Linked DNA regions of Schizosaccharomyces pombe. Changing the gene in region 1 together with any one later gene gives a genetic interaction. Each region holds a gene or a part of one and is shown on either strand. Other genes may lie near its edges.

Evidence for each region.
Region 2: mutations in ltc2 (region 1) and gma12 together harm fitness more than expected from each alone (negative genetic interaction), as found in Schizosaccharomyces pombe (one large-scale study listed by BioGRID).

Annotation. Positions count from the first base shown.
Region 1 is NC_003424.3:2,484,474-2,491,132, forward strand, and holds ltc2 (BAR and PH domain-containing protein), read right to left. Parts: upstream 4,618-6,659; 5' UTR 4,465-4,617; coding exon 1,163-4,464; intron 1,065-1,162; coding exon 725-1,064; 3' UTR 610-724; downstream 1-609. Other genes in the region: ymr1 (myotubularin family phosphatidylinositol-3-phosphatase), read right to left, coding at 1-193, 250-273; guanyl-nucleotide exchange factor Sec73, read left to right, coding at 6,390-6,659.
Region 2 is NC_003421.2:315,093-319,698, reverse strand, and holds gma12 (Golgi alpha-1,2-galactosyltransferase Gma12), read left to right. Parts: upstream 1-1,846; coding exon 1,847-2,974; 3' UTR 2,975-3,872; downstream 3,873-4,606. Other genes in the region: msf1 (phenylalanyl-tRNA synthetase), read left to right, coding at 4,046-4,606. UniProt on the Schizosaccharomyces pombe protein: Involved in the O- and N-linked oligosaccharide modification of proteins transported through the Golgi stack. This occurs in cis Golgi where the enzyme transfers galactose from UDP-galactose to a variety of mannose based acceptors.

The DNA.
Region 1 (6,659 bases):
ACATAAAGTCTCGGCATTGTATACGTATACAAAATGATTTTTCGTTAGAGCAAAGCTTTACATTATTTATCATGGAATATGCCGTCCAAATTTCCTTCCCATTTTCCGAGATTGAAAAAATAGAATGATACGCTGTCAAATGCAATGTTCCGTTCAATTCGTTTCCTTTGTTCACAAACTTCACATTTCCGACCTATTTGTTAATATTTTGATAAAATTAAGTTTTAGATCTAATCGCATTATGCTTACTTTTGCAACTTTGATGTTTTCCATCACACGGAAACTTCTTTTTATAAGCAATTGAATAAAATGAAGCAACCCTCGTACTATCAAGTACTGTGACAAAATATGAGTACAAAGAATTAAATATGTGTTTAGCGCAGAATGTAATTGCGTTCTACTTAGATAGATGAAGGTTTTAAACTATTTACGGTGGTGCTGTCGATTAATGCTGCCAAGTGCATGGCTGTAATCATTGCGGTTATCAAGGCTACAACTTGACATATCATTACCTTGTTTATTAAACAATAGAAAGGACGATTCTGAAAGATGTAGAGGAGTTACACTTATCTTTGGTATATATATGTTTAATAAATTCAACTTTATTAATTTGTGTATCTGACAAAAAAAAACGAGTGCTTGATCAAATAACTCATAAAACCCTAAATATAAAAAAGATAATAAAATAACAATAAAAATAATTAAGTTACAGTTTCATTAACAATTATGCAGCGTAGTCTGCGTTTTCCACAGTCTCGAGTGTCAATAATCTTGTAGCTAGAGTGTCTTTGCCGAAAAACAAAGTGCGGTTCCTCCAATCTTGCGTGCAAGAATCGCAATACCTTTGCATCGAGGGTGGGTATAAATCAAATTCCCTTGCTTTGTCACATCCCAACAGCTCTTGTTGAATGTATTGATATACGGCATCCTCGTGAATTATATATTCGTAATAGTTTAGAGACGCCAAATTTTCCAATATTTTTTTTCTTTTTTCTGCAATATAATTCCGTTTTCGTAACCAGTGACTTTTTTGAGGAGAACTTTTTAAAGCAAATGATTGTAAACTGTAAAAAGATTAGAATAATAATAATAACAAAAAAAAGATAATATAATGTACATGTAATCAACATTTATAATTACATGGTACTACTAACAAACTTACCATTCACTTGGATAAGTGACGTTGGGGTGCAAATAAGTAGGAAGTCCGACTAATAAATCATCAACGTCCTTCATATAAACATAACGAGCAGAAGTTTCAATATTTTTAAACTCATCGAAAACTTGCCCGACAAATTTGTTATTCTGTCGCTCATCCCAGTACTTAGCTCCAAAACAAAACATGAGAGAAAGGTTCAAGATAACCGAACAAGCAAAAATAATAACCAAAAATGAGTGAGAAAATAAATATCTTAGGAAAATGTGGAAGACAGCCCACGGCAGCTTTAGTAGATCAATTGCCAATCCTTGAAGAAAAAGCCACCAATTATTGCGAATAATATCGATAATTGACAGGTTTTTCAATTCACAGTTAAAAGGTATTTTTCTTCGATAAACCATCGATTCATTGTAGTCGCCTACTCTTCCATATTGATTTATTATCGCAATAAGCGGCTGATTTCTTGCTCTTCTAGTTGCCTTTTCCAAAAAGTTGACTTCCGTTTTTATATACTTGATAGCCAGTTTTCTACATTCAGCCTCAATAACCTTTGATATAGCAAAAGGTTTAACGATCCATTCAAGGCCTACAGATATGAGCAATCTAGACTTCTCCCTTCTAAGGTGAGATATAGAAGTTTTTGTCACGATTTTAAAGTAATCTCTATAAGGCAAAGTCCAAGAGTGATGAAGCCATGTCATAATGTATAAATGATAATCATTGCGGACGTCCATTATTTGGCAATCCTCATAGTGGTAAGATTGACATTGACCTTCTTGGTCGTAATTATAAACCTTATAATTGATGTATCGACGACTCAAATTGGTTTTTGGATCTTTTCCCCATGGTAAAAATTCGACATCATCTACTCCATGAAGATTGTAAGCACCAGACAACACGGTGCTTCTATCACCAAAAACAATATGAAACAATGCCTTAGTAGAAACATTGTACACTCGATCAAATACAATATCGTCCAGATGATGAGAACGAACAACTTGGACTGTCTCTTTCGGAAGCATAGCAATCTTGAAGTCCCTGAGGTCTTCCATAAATGAATCATTACTCTCATTCTTATTGATCAAATTAGTTAGCGCTCTACTACTCCTTCCTCTTCGAATAAGGAGATCTTCTTGAGATGGCTGTACCCCATAAGACTTGAGAGCATTATCGTCACCACCCCTTTCAAAGCGTTTTACATCATCATTCAATCTTTTGATACATGACAACAGTTGTATTGAACTGTTTGGTTTATCGGCAATGTAATTGCACAGTAACACATTAAGTCGGTCAGTTAGAGCTTTCGAAGAATCGAGATAGAGACGGAACCTTACAGTCCCAATGTTCTGGATATTCATGTAAAAATAATCACATTTAGTACTAGCAAATTGTTTTACGTTTAAAATGCTAGAAATGGGGAAATGCTCAATGAGGACCAATCCATTGATGTTGTAATATATGTAAATCCCTTTCATAGTGCAATACATTCGACCAGGCATACGTATTTGATCCTCTCTTTTACTACAAACACGGCATACAAATAAAACGGTAGATGCTTCCGATTCACCAAATATACCTCTAAATTCAGCATTCCTCAACTTAAGCTCAGAAGGAAGTTTTTCAATGTGAATTTCTCTAGCTAAACGTTTATAAGAAGGATTTGATAGATCTTCAATGTACACGTTCTGACGCTCTAAAACATGGCCGTAATTGACTGAACCCCAAAAATTTGCCAGTAAGGCGCAAGGAGAATTACCATGAAAAAAGGCTTCCTGGTCCAAAAGGCTGGTTATCGTTTCGTGAGTCAAATTTGTTATCAGTGGTGCATTGACTAGGGTCCATGGAGCAAGCGGATTAAGGAATTTAGCGCCATTTATGGAATTTGAAAGATACTTTGGAGGAGGAACAGTTGAAATTGTGGGAGATCGCATTATAGTTGAAACTTCATAATTGTTTGGACCACATAACAATCGTCCCGAATAAGTACGACGAGGACGATAATTTTTTCCTATTTTCCCCGTAGAGTTTGAGCGCCCATTGACTTGTGGATTTATAATTGATGTAGCTTTAGCAGAAAACGATGGTAAGGTAGGAGACAAGATTCGGTTAGCAGATATCCCGGAATTGATACAGTGTTCTCGAGCGTTATTTATTACGCTGCCCCATTCAAGCATTTCCATGTGAGTTTCGGCTTGCAGAATGTAGCTCACGGACTTCGTTTTTATTTGAAAACAAAATTTCCGATGATTGCTTGGTAAAACAGAAAACTTACACAGAAGGACTCCGATTTTTTCGCTCTCAAAAACACCACCATTGGCATCATTAATAAGATATCCGACATAGCCATTGTCGACAAAAAACCAGTATTTTCTCCAAATTGCTTTGTTATCTGCCTTGCTAGAACTGATATTTCTTAGTAACCACCCTTGACGTTTAGTTGCGTTTGTTTGACATATTTGCTGGGGATCGAAACGATATGCGTCTAAATTAGTTGGTGGCTGTACTCTCTTAAGAATTTCCTTCTCAATTCTATCAAAAACGTTAGATACTATTCTTTTTAGTGAAGGATAAGATTCCTTAAGTTTAGTTTCGTAAGAGAGTAAGCGAATTAGTTGATCATTTATATGCCTATTGGACTCGTGCAGACGATCAGTCAAACGAAACGTTTCAATTGAAAACTTGCAAATGCTTTCAATAACTATGAAATCAATGGATGAGCGAAAGGAGGTAACTCGAACTACGTATTGTAGAGCAACTGTAAAATAACTTTTACGAGCTTCGTATAAAGATTTTGCTTCATCCCGCATTTGCGATAAATCTTTTGAATGTCCAAGAGAAGAATACCTTAAGACTTCCGCATCATACTTGGCTTGCTCGGCTTTAAAGCGATCATTTAATTGAAGCAAAGGCTTAACTTTTGAATCTCGAAATAGATCTAATGGAGCAACAATAAATTTCCGTAAATTTTTAGCTTGTTGAAGTTGCACCATATATGACGACCGAAATAAGTCTTGACCGTGAAGCAAAGCGGTTGTTGCATAATCAGGATCAAAAAATCCTGAAGCAACATTAGAAGGCATAGCATTCAACGACATACTGGCGACAATGGGCTCTATCGCCATTATTGACTCGATAAACTTGTTGCAGCAACATAAGAAATCATGAGACCATTCGTTAAACGCTTTGATTTGATTCCCTAGATAATACATGCTCGCCCTAAAAGACGGAGAATCAATGCTACATTCGTTCAGTAAGACTGGAATAACATGATCCTTTTTTGAAGACGCATTTGCAGGAGCGGCCATGATTTTTCATTTCCTTCTATTAGTTTCCAAAAACTTCAATTCATATAAGAAAGCATTAAGAACGATATGTCCACTCGTCTAAAGGATGATTTTTAAACCGGTATATGCGCTTTCGGCTGTCGGATGCGGCATGTTTGTAGCGGCGTACTTGATGTTTTTGACTTAAGAGTGACGCTGCATTTTTTAACCAAGATGAAGCAATTCGTTATATTAGAATAACGATATTTAAGTACTTCTATTATAAGGTAAACAAATACGAAATAACTGAGTGTTAGAAATTTAATCACAAGGAAAATGTTTCAGCTAGCTAAGGAATTTTTACTTAAAATATATAAGTGAAATGATTCCATCCTTATACATATCATAAATATAAATACATTTACTATTAGAAAAATAAAAGTGCTTTTAATTTTTCGTTTTCTTCTTTTTTAAGTAAAATTTACTAAGAATGAGTTAGCCTTATTACAAAAATTGTGGCACTAATTTGTGAGCATAGTATCTTAATTTATACTTGATGTTTGCACTTAATCTTTTTTAAGTCATTATAAAACAATATACAAATTGAGCACGATCAATAACTGTAATGGTCAGGTTTGGTTGTACTTCAATTGGTATGTAAACAAAATATTTGGTAAAGTGGTTAAATAAATTTTATGAACAGTTAGGAATTATGTATATAGTAAAACAAAAGCATCTCTAAAATTATAAAAAATACCTAGATTTTTCTGTTGTGGGTAAATTACTTGTTACTTTTTTTATTGCCACATCTGGTTGCTATTTGCTTTCAAAATTAATTTTTAAAAAAAAAATTATTATAATGAGTAAAGGGTGCAACCTAGAAACATGTTCAGCTGAGCTTGTTAAAAATATTTGTTATGTTTATAATTTTGAAGTAGTGTATCTTAAGCACTTGCGATAGCGAACTAAATTTTTCTAAATCATTGACATTAGAAATAAAAAAATAAACTACATTATGGTGCCATTTGCCCCATTAGATTATCAGGAACATCGTGCTAGCCATTTGCTATCTACGTTTCTATCAGACCATGTCGGATTTGGTCATACGAGGAAGGGTGTGGCAGAATACCTTGCGGTGGGCGGGTTTGTATGCATTGGGCGATAAAGACACGGGCATGTTGTGGACGGAGCAAATAACACTACTGTAACCAACAAAACTAGTATTTACTTTTCAATTCTTTTTTCTGGAGCACCAAAACTTGTACTCATTATTAAAATTCTAGGGAAATTAATTAGTTGAATTGGTTAGCAATTGACGATTCATTAAATTTCCTGCTATCAACCCAAGGACATGACTTTTGCTCATTAATTTTGTGTTCGTATTTCCATTGAGGGTTTCAAATTACTAGAGTTCATTTTACTTTCGTTGCTTTGCTTATTCGGTTTGCTCTGCGCTGCCTAAATCAGATCACACTTGGTTTTTGTGCTTTTTTTTTTAAAAAATTTCGATTCATTTGAACCGTCTCACAGAAGTTTCACTTTTACATCTTCGTTTCAGTTTCTCGTTCTTTGTTCATAACCATTTTTCATCTTCCATACCTTCCAGTTCATTACTTTTCATTCATTTCATTTCATTCCATGCTGCATGCATTATATTAATCACTAATTGTTTTTCCCTTGTTCGTTCGCTTCGGTAGTTTCTCAATTGATTTTTCTTTTGATTATTCGGGAAAAAATATCTGTTCATTAAAGGTAATACGTTGGTTGCTTTCTCCTTATTACAGTCAGTTTTATCCTCGTATAGTCGACAAATCTATCTACTGTCTCCAATTGTTATAAATTTAGATCCTGACTTAAGTTTACATTACATTTCTTTTTGAATCTTCCTTTCATTTTCGAGGTCTCTCTTTACTTCAATCTTTTTTAAGTCTTTCTTTTTCTTCAACTTACATGCGCCGAGGCGCGAAATGACCTTCAGAATTCCTTCCAGCCAGGAGTCTTCAAATAAATCCGAAAAGGATACCACTGTAAATTCTCCTAACGCTTCTAGTTTCTCCTCTTTCTTTAAAAAGTCTAGTCAGACATATCTGTCCAAACGTTCAGAAAAACTAAATGAGCATAACAGTAAACTAAAGTCAAGCGGATCTTTCACAAGTAATTCACAGACCGACTTGAGTAATTCGCCCTCTTCTAAGAAAAAAAATATTTTTTATCCGATCGCAAGAGCCAAGCACTCG
Region 2 (4,606 bases), on another chromosome or scaffold:
GGAGGAAATAGTTCCTTTCTGTATAATCCTTATTTGAAAGTTTAGGATTTGCGGAACCCTTTTTTTTCTTTTCCACCCGGTCCGATAGTTGTAAAGGGGACAAATTTATTTTTGTCCGTTTACAAAAATAAAGAAGTAAAGCAGTGTAACTAAAGGGGAAAACATTGAGTTTTATGGTAAAAGATCCTATGTTCCATTAAACATCGAAAAAGGTTTGTTGGCTTTGAATTTGAATGAAGTTACATGCAGTTAAGTTAGCGAAACGATCGATTGGAAATTCCTAAACAATCGGTATGGTATGGGATGGGACTAAATAATTGGAGGAACTTGCTATAAGGTAATTAATAATATAAAGAAGCCGATAATATACAGTATGGTAATAGAAACAAAGCAATGAATCTTGCTCAGTCATTACTAGTTTGCTCTCTAGGGTTAAATTAGTTGGATCAGTAATTTTCAATCGAAACAAAAATATTTAAATAAATACGAATTATGCTTTACTTAGATTTATTATTGTTTTATTTTTATTTATTGCTCTTTTCATCTTTTTTAGAAGTTTTATTGTCTTTCATGTTTGGAATAGAATTTTTTCCCATTAAGCGGCAGTACTAAAAAAAAATTATTTCGATGTCTTTTAAAACCTGAATGATACTATTATATCTCTTTAAACTACTTTTATTTCTAGCACTTGCCATGTTGTTTTGTAATATTGGCTTTACCAGCCATTTGACTTTTTCTTTGTTTACACTAACATCACCGCACCAAAGCGTCAAGAATTTACTGCAGAATTTTACCAAAGAATGTAGAAACTAATTTTCTTTGGAAATTCGGGATTGCATCGATGCACAAGTCACTGACTTCTATAAATACAATTGTTTAGCAAGCTCCCTTTTTTTATTTTCAATAACAGGTAACACGTTTGGCAGGTAACAAGGAGACAATTAATCCATCACTCCAGAAACATATTAGCATTCCCCCCCGATTTAAACCTGGCCTTAACTTACCACCAATTTTTTTTTGCTTAAGGCAATTGGTTTTGTGTTTGTTAACATTCTAATTGTAAGACCTTGACGAAAAACTGGTTTTAAAGGATTTTTTACTGAGCTAATTTATTCGTTTATACGGGCTTTGTTCATTTCGCTTTTGGTAATCTCACTTTTTTTTGGTTTCCAGAGGCATTTTTAAATTTCAATACTTTTTCTTGAGTTTTTGATTTTTGCTTTCTTTTTAGTTTTGCGTTGACAAGTACTGAATTGTAATCTTTATCGTGGATTTAATTAGATTCAAGTGATTTTTAACACCTACATTGCCAAGTAGTATTAAAGTATTCATTTCATTGGTTTGGACTAGTTATATACTTCAAACTGGTGTTTACTTCCTTCTTTCGCTTCTTTTTCTTTCTAAACTTTGCTATATTTTGCCTTCGTTCGTTAGGTTACTATTTATTTACAAATTGAACCTTTTCATATAGGTTCTCTACAGGGATTTTCTTACCATTACTTATTGTAACAGATTTCTTAGTTGAGAGAATATTTTCACTTGGGGGGGTTTTTTTTCTTTTTAATTCACCACACGTATCTAGGTTTTCTACATTCTCTTGGATACAATCTCTTTTATTGCACAGAATCTTCTTTGATTTTCGTCTAATATTCCTACTGTCGGTTCTTTTACCCTTCCTGTTTCTACTTTTTAAAAGCTCTCATATATCACTCATCACCATCCTTTCTCTAATTTTATCTTTCGTTCACTGCTTAATTTTGCATTTCTAAGGAAATTCTCCGTTCCTTTATCATTTTATTTTATTTTGTCTCTTCTATATTATTAGTTTACTCTTGATTATTTGACAATGCGGTTCGCTCCTTATTTAATTAGTGCTGTTGTAATTACAACCATAATCCTGGGTGGAGCTTGGTGGACTTCAGCTATGGATACCAAGCTTCAAACGAAGATGAAGGAGATCATCGACCAACACACGAGTACTTGGACCCCAGTCGTTTCCTCCGTAACCAGTACCCAAACTGATACTTTACGTGTTACCATTAGTGAAGTTGTTAGTGTTACTGCCACTTTAACCGAAACTTTCACTGCTACTCCAACTGTCACTTCTGTAGTTCATGCTTTAGCTACCACTGATCCTCATCCGGATAACTCTAAAATCGTCATTTTGATGGGCTCTAACTTTCAAAATGATGCTAACTCTCCTCTCCATCCTTTCGCTCAGTCCATTATCAAAAATCGTCGTGAATATGCTGAACGCCATGGTTACAAATTCGAATTCTTAGATGCCGATGCCTATGCTTCTCGTGTTACAGGTCATTTAATGCCCTGGGTTAAGGTCCCTATGCTTCAAGATACGATGAAGAAATATCCTGACGCTGAATGGATTTGGTGGCTTGATCATGACGCGTTGGTCATGAACAAAGATCTTAACGTCGTCGACCATGTGCTTAAGCACGACCGATTGAATACCATTTTAACTAGGGAGGCTGAATATAAGAGTGGTGCAGGTATCCCCGCCGATGGATTTAGAACTCCAAAGGATCAGGATGCTAAGGATGTTCATTTCATCATCTCTCAAGATTTTAATGGTATTAACGCTGGCAGTCTTTTTATTCGTAATAGCGAAGTTGGCCGCTGGATTGTTGATTTGTGGTTTGAACCCTTATATTTGGATCATATTCAGGGATATGCTGAGCAACAAGCGTTTTCTCACATGGTATTTTACCATCCCCAGGTGTATAAACATGTAGGTGTTGTCCCACTTAAGGCTATAAACGCATATGATTTTGATGATAATATTTGGGGCTATGACGACGGGGACTTGTGTATCCATTTTGCTGGATGTAACTATTTTAAGAATTGTCCCGAGAAGTTCCTTAAGTATGCTCAAATTTTATCTTCTAAACAAGGATCCGATTGGATGTCTGCTCAAGAAAAGGATCATATTCAAAATCTTTTGAAACCATCATCCTAGTTTTTTTCAGTCACGCATGGAAAAATACCTTGTACTTTAGACTGGTTTAATTTCATGATATTTGTCATTTTACTCAAGAACAACGTCTGTCCAGTATGTTGGTAGTTTTCTCAATTTTTTATTATCGGGGATAAGCAAACTCCTTCTTTCATTACTAATCAAGTCATTTAATTATCCTCCCCTCCTTAGTGAACACCTTAATAGTTTCTCCCTTTTCATGATTTCATGAGCTTAGTATCATTACGTTCAGGACCTTCTAATTTCGTGTTGGAGGATTTTAGTGTTGTCTAATCTATTTCCTTTTCTAAAGTCAAGTTTTGTATCGTACTTTAAGTACAAAGTTCGAGTTTTGCTGTTACGCTTCAAACCGTTTTATTTAATTTTTAAACCCCAGCCTTTCTTGGAGTAAAATGTTAGTAGATGACAAACTTGTTAGGGGTTTGAATGAATTTTCATACGCAGAATGCTGCTTTCTTTAAAATCGGGATGATTTGAAATGTTATTTGAAATGTTGAGTTTTTTGTAGCCTACATTACGATTGTACGGCTTATAGGACAGTGAAGCTATTAAATACTTGATCTAATATGACCGATTACAAGAAAGTCCTTGATAATTTTTCTGCACTTCTTTTGAAGTTGGCAACTTTATGTACAGTATGATGCTCTATCTTTCTAAATAAAGTTATGTCAGGAGTCTTATGGAAATAAAATTTGCAATTCGTCGTAATGAAATCCATTTGAGTGATAATGGCTTTTGAAATTAAAGCATATATTTTTTTTATGCAAAAACAATGAATGAAATATTTGTAAACTGACCAAATCTATAAACCACTGCTTGAAAATTAAACGATTCGAATTTTACTCCTTTGTTCATTGTATCCAAGAACGGCACAACCCCTATATTTGGGTACTATCATTTTTTTACTTTCAAATGGGACGCAATTAAGACCGATTGATTGAATTCTATTAAATTATTATTATATATTAATTTTAAAAATAGTTAGCTTCGTTGTTCTAATTTAAATTATCATTGTTTGATTACAAAAAGTGAAGTGTGTTATTTAAGAAATCAATGTTCCCTCATCGAGTCTCTCATTTATCGAAACTATTTTCGAGAAGGTTTCCCAATTGGAAAAGAAAAGTCCAAACAGATTCTTGGTCCAATGTCCCAGAGCATATTCACTCAAAAATTGGTCGAAACCTTTTTCAAAAAGAAGGTCATCCCATATGCAGTCTACGACAACTTCTCGAACAGCAATTTCAAAAATTCGAAATGAATAATGTTCAAAAAGAATCACCTATTGTTTCTGTAGAGACGAATTTTGATTCTTTAGGATTTCCCAAGACACATGTAAGTAGAAGCAAATCCGATACTTACTATATGAACAATAAAACTTGTCTTCGAACCCATACCTCGGCTCATCAACCTGAAGAGTTCTCTCGCTTGGCCAAAGAAGGATTTAAGAAAAATGGTTTCTTAATAACCGCAGATGTATACCGTCGCGATGAAGTGGATTCTAGTCATTATCCAATTTTTCATCAAATGGAAGGTGCATTGGTGTGGAACAGAAATGATACTGCAAAAATGAAAAATGATCTAAAAAAAGTAGCTCTTTCTCCATCTCTTAAGTCA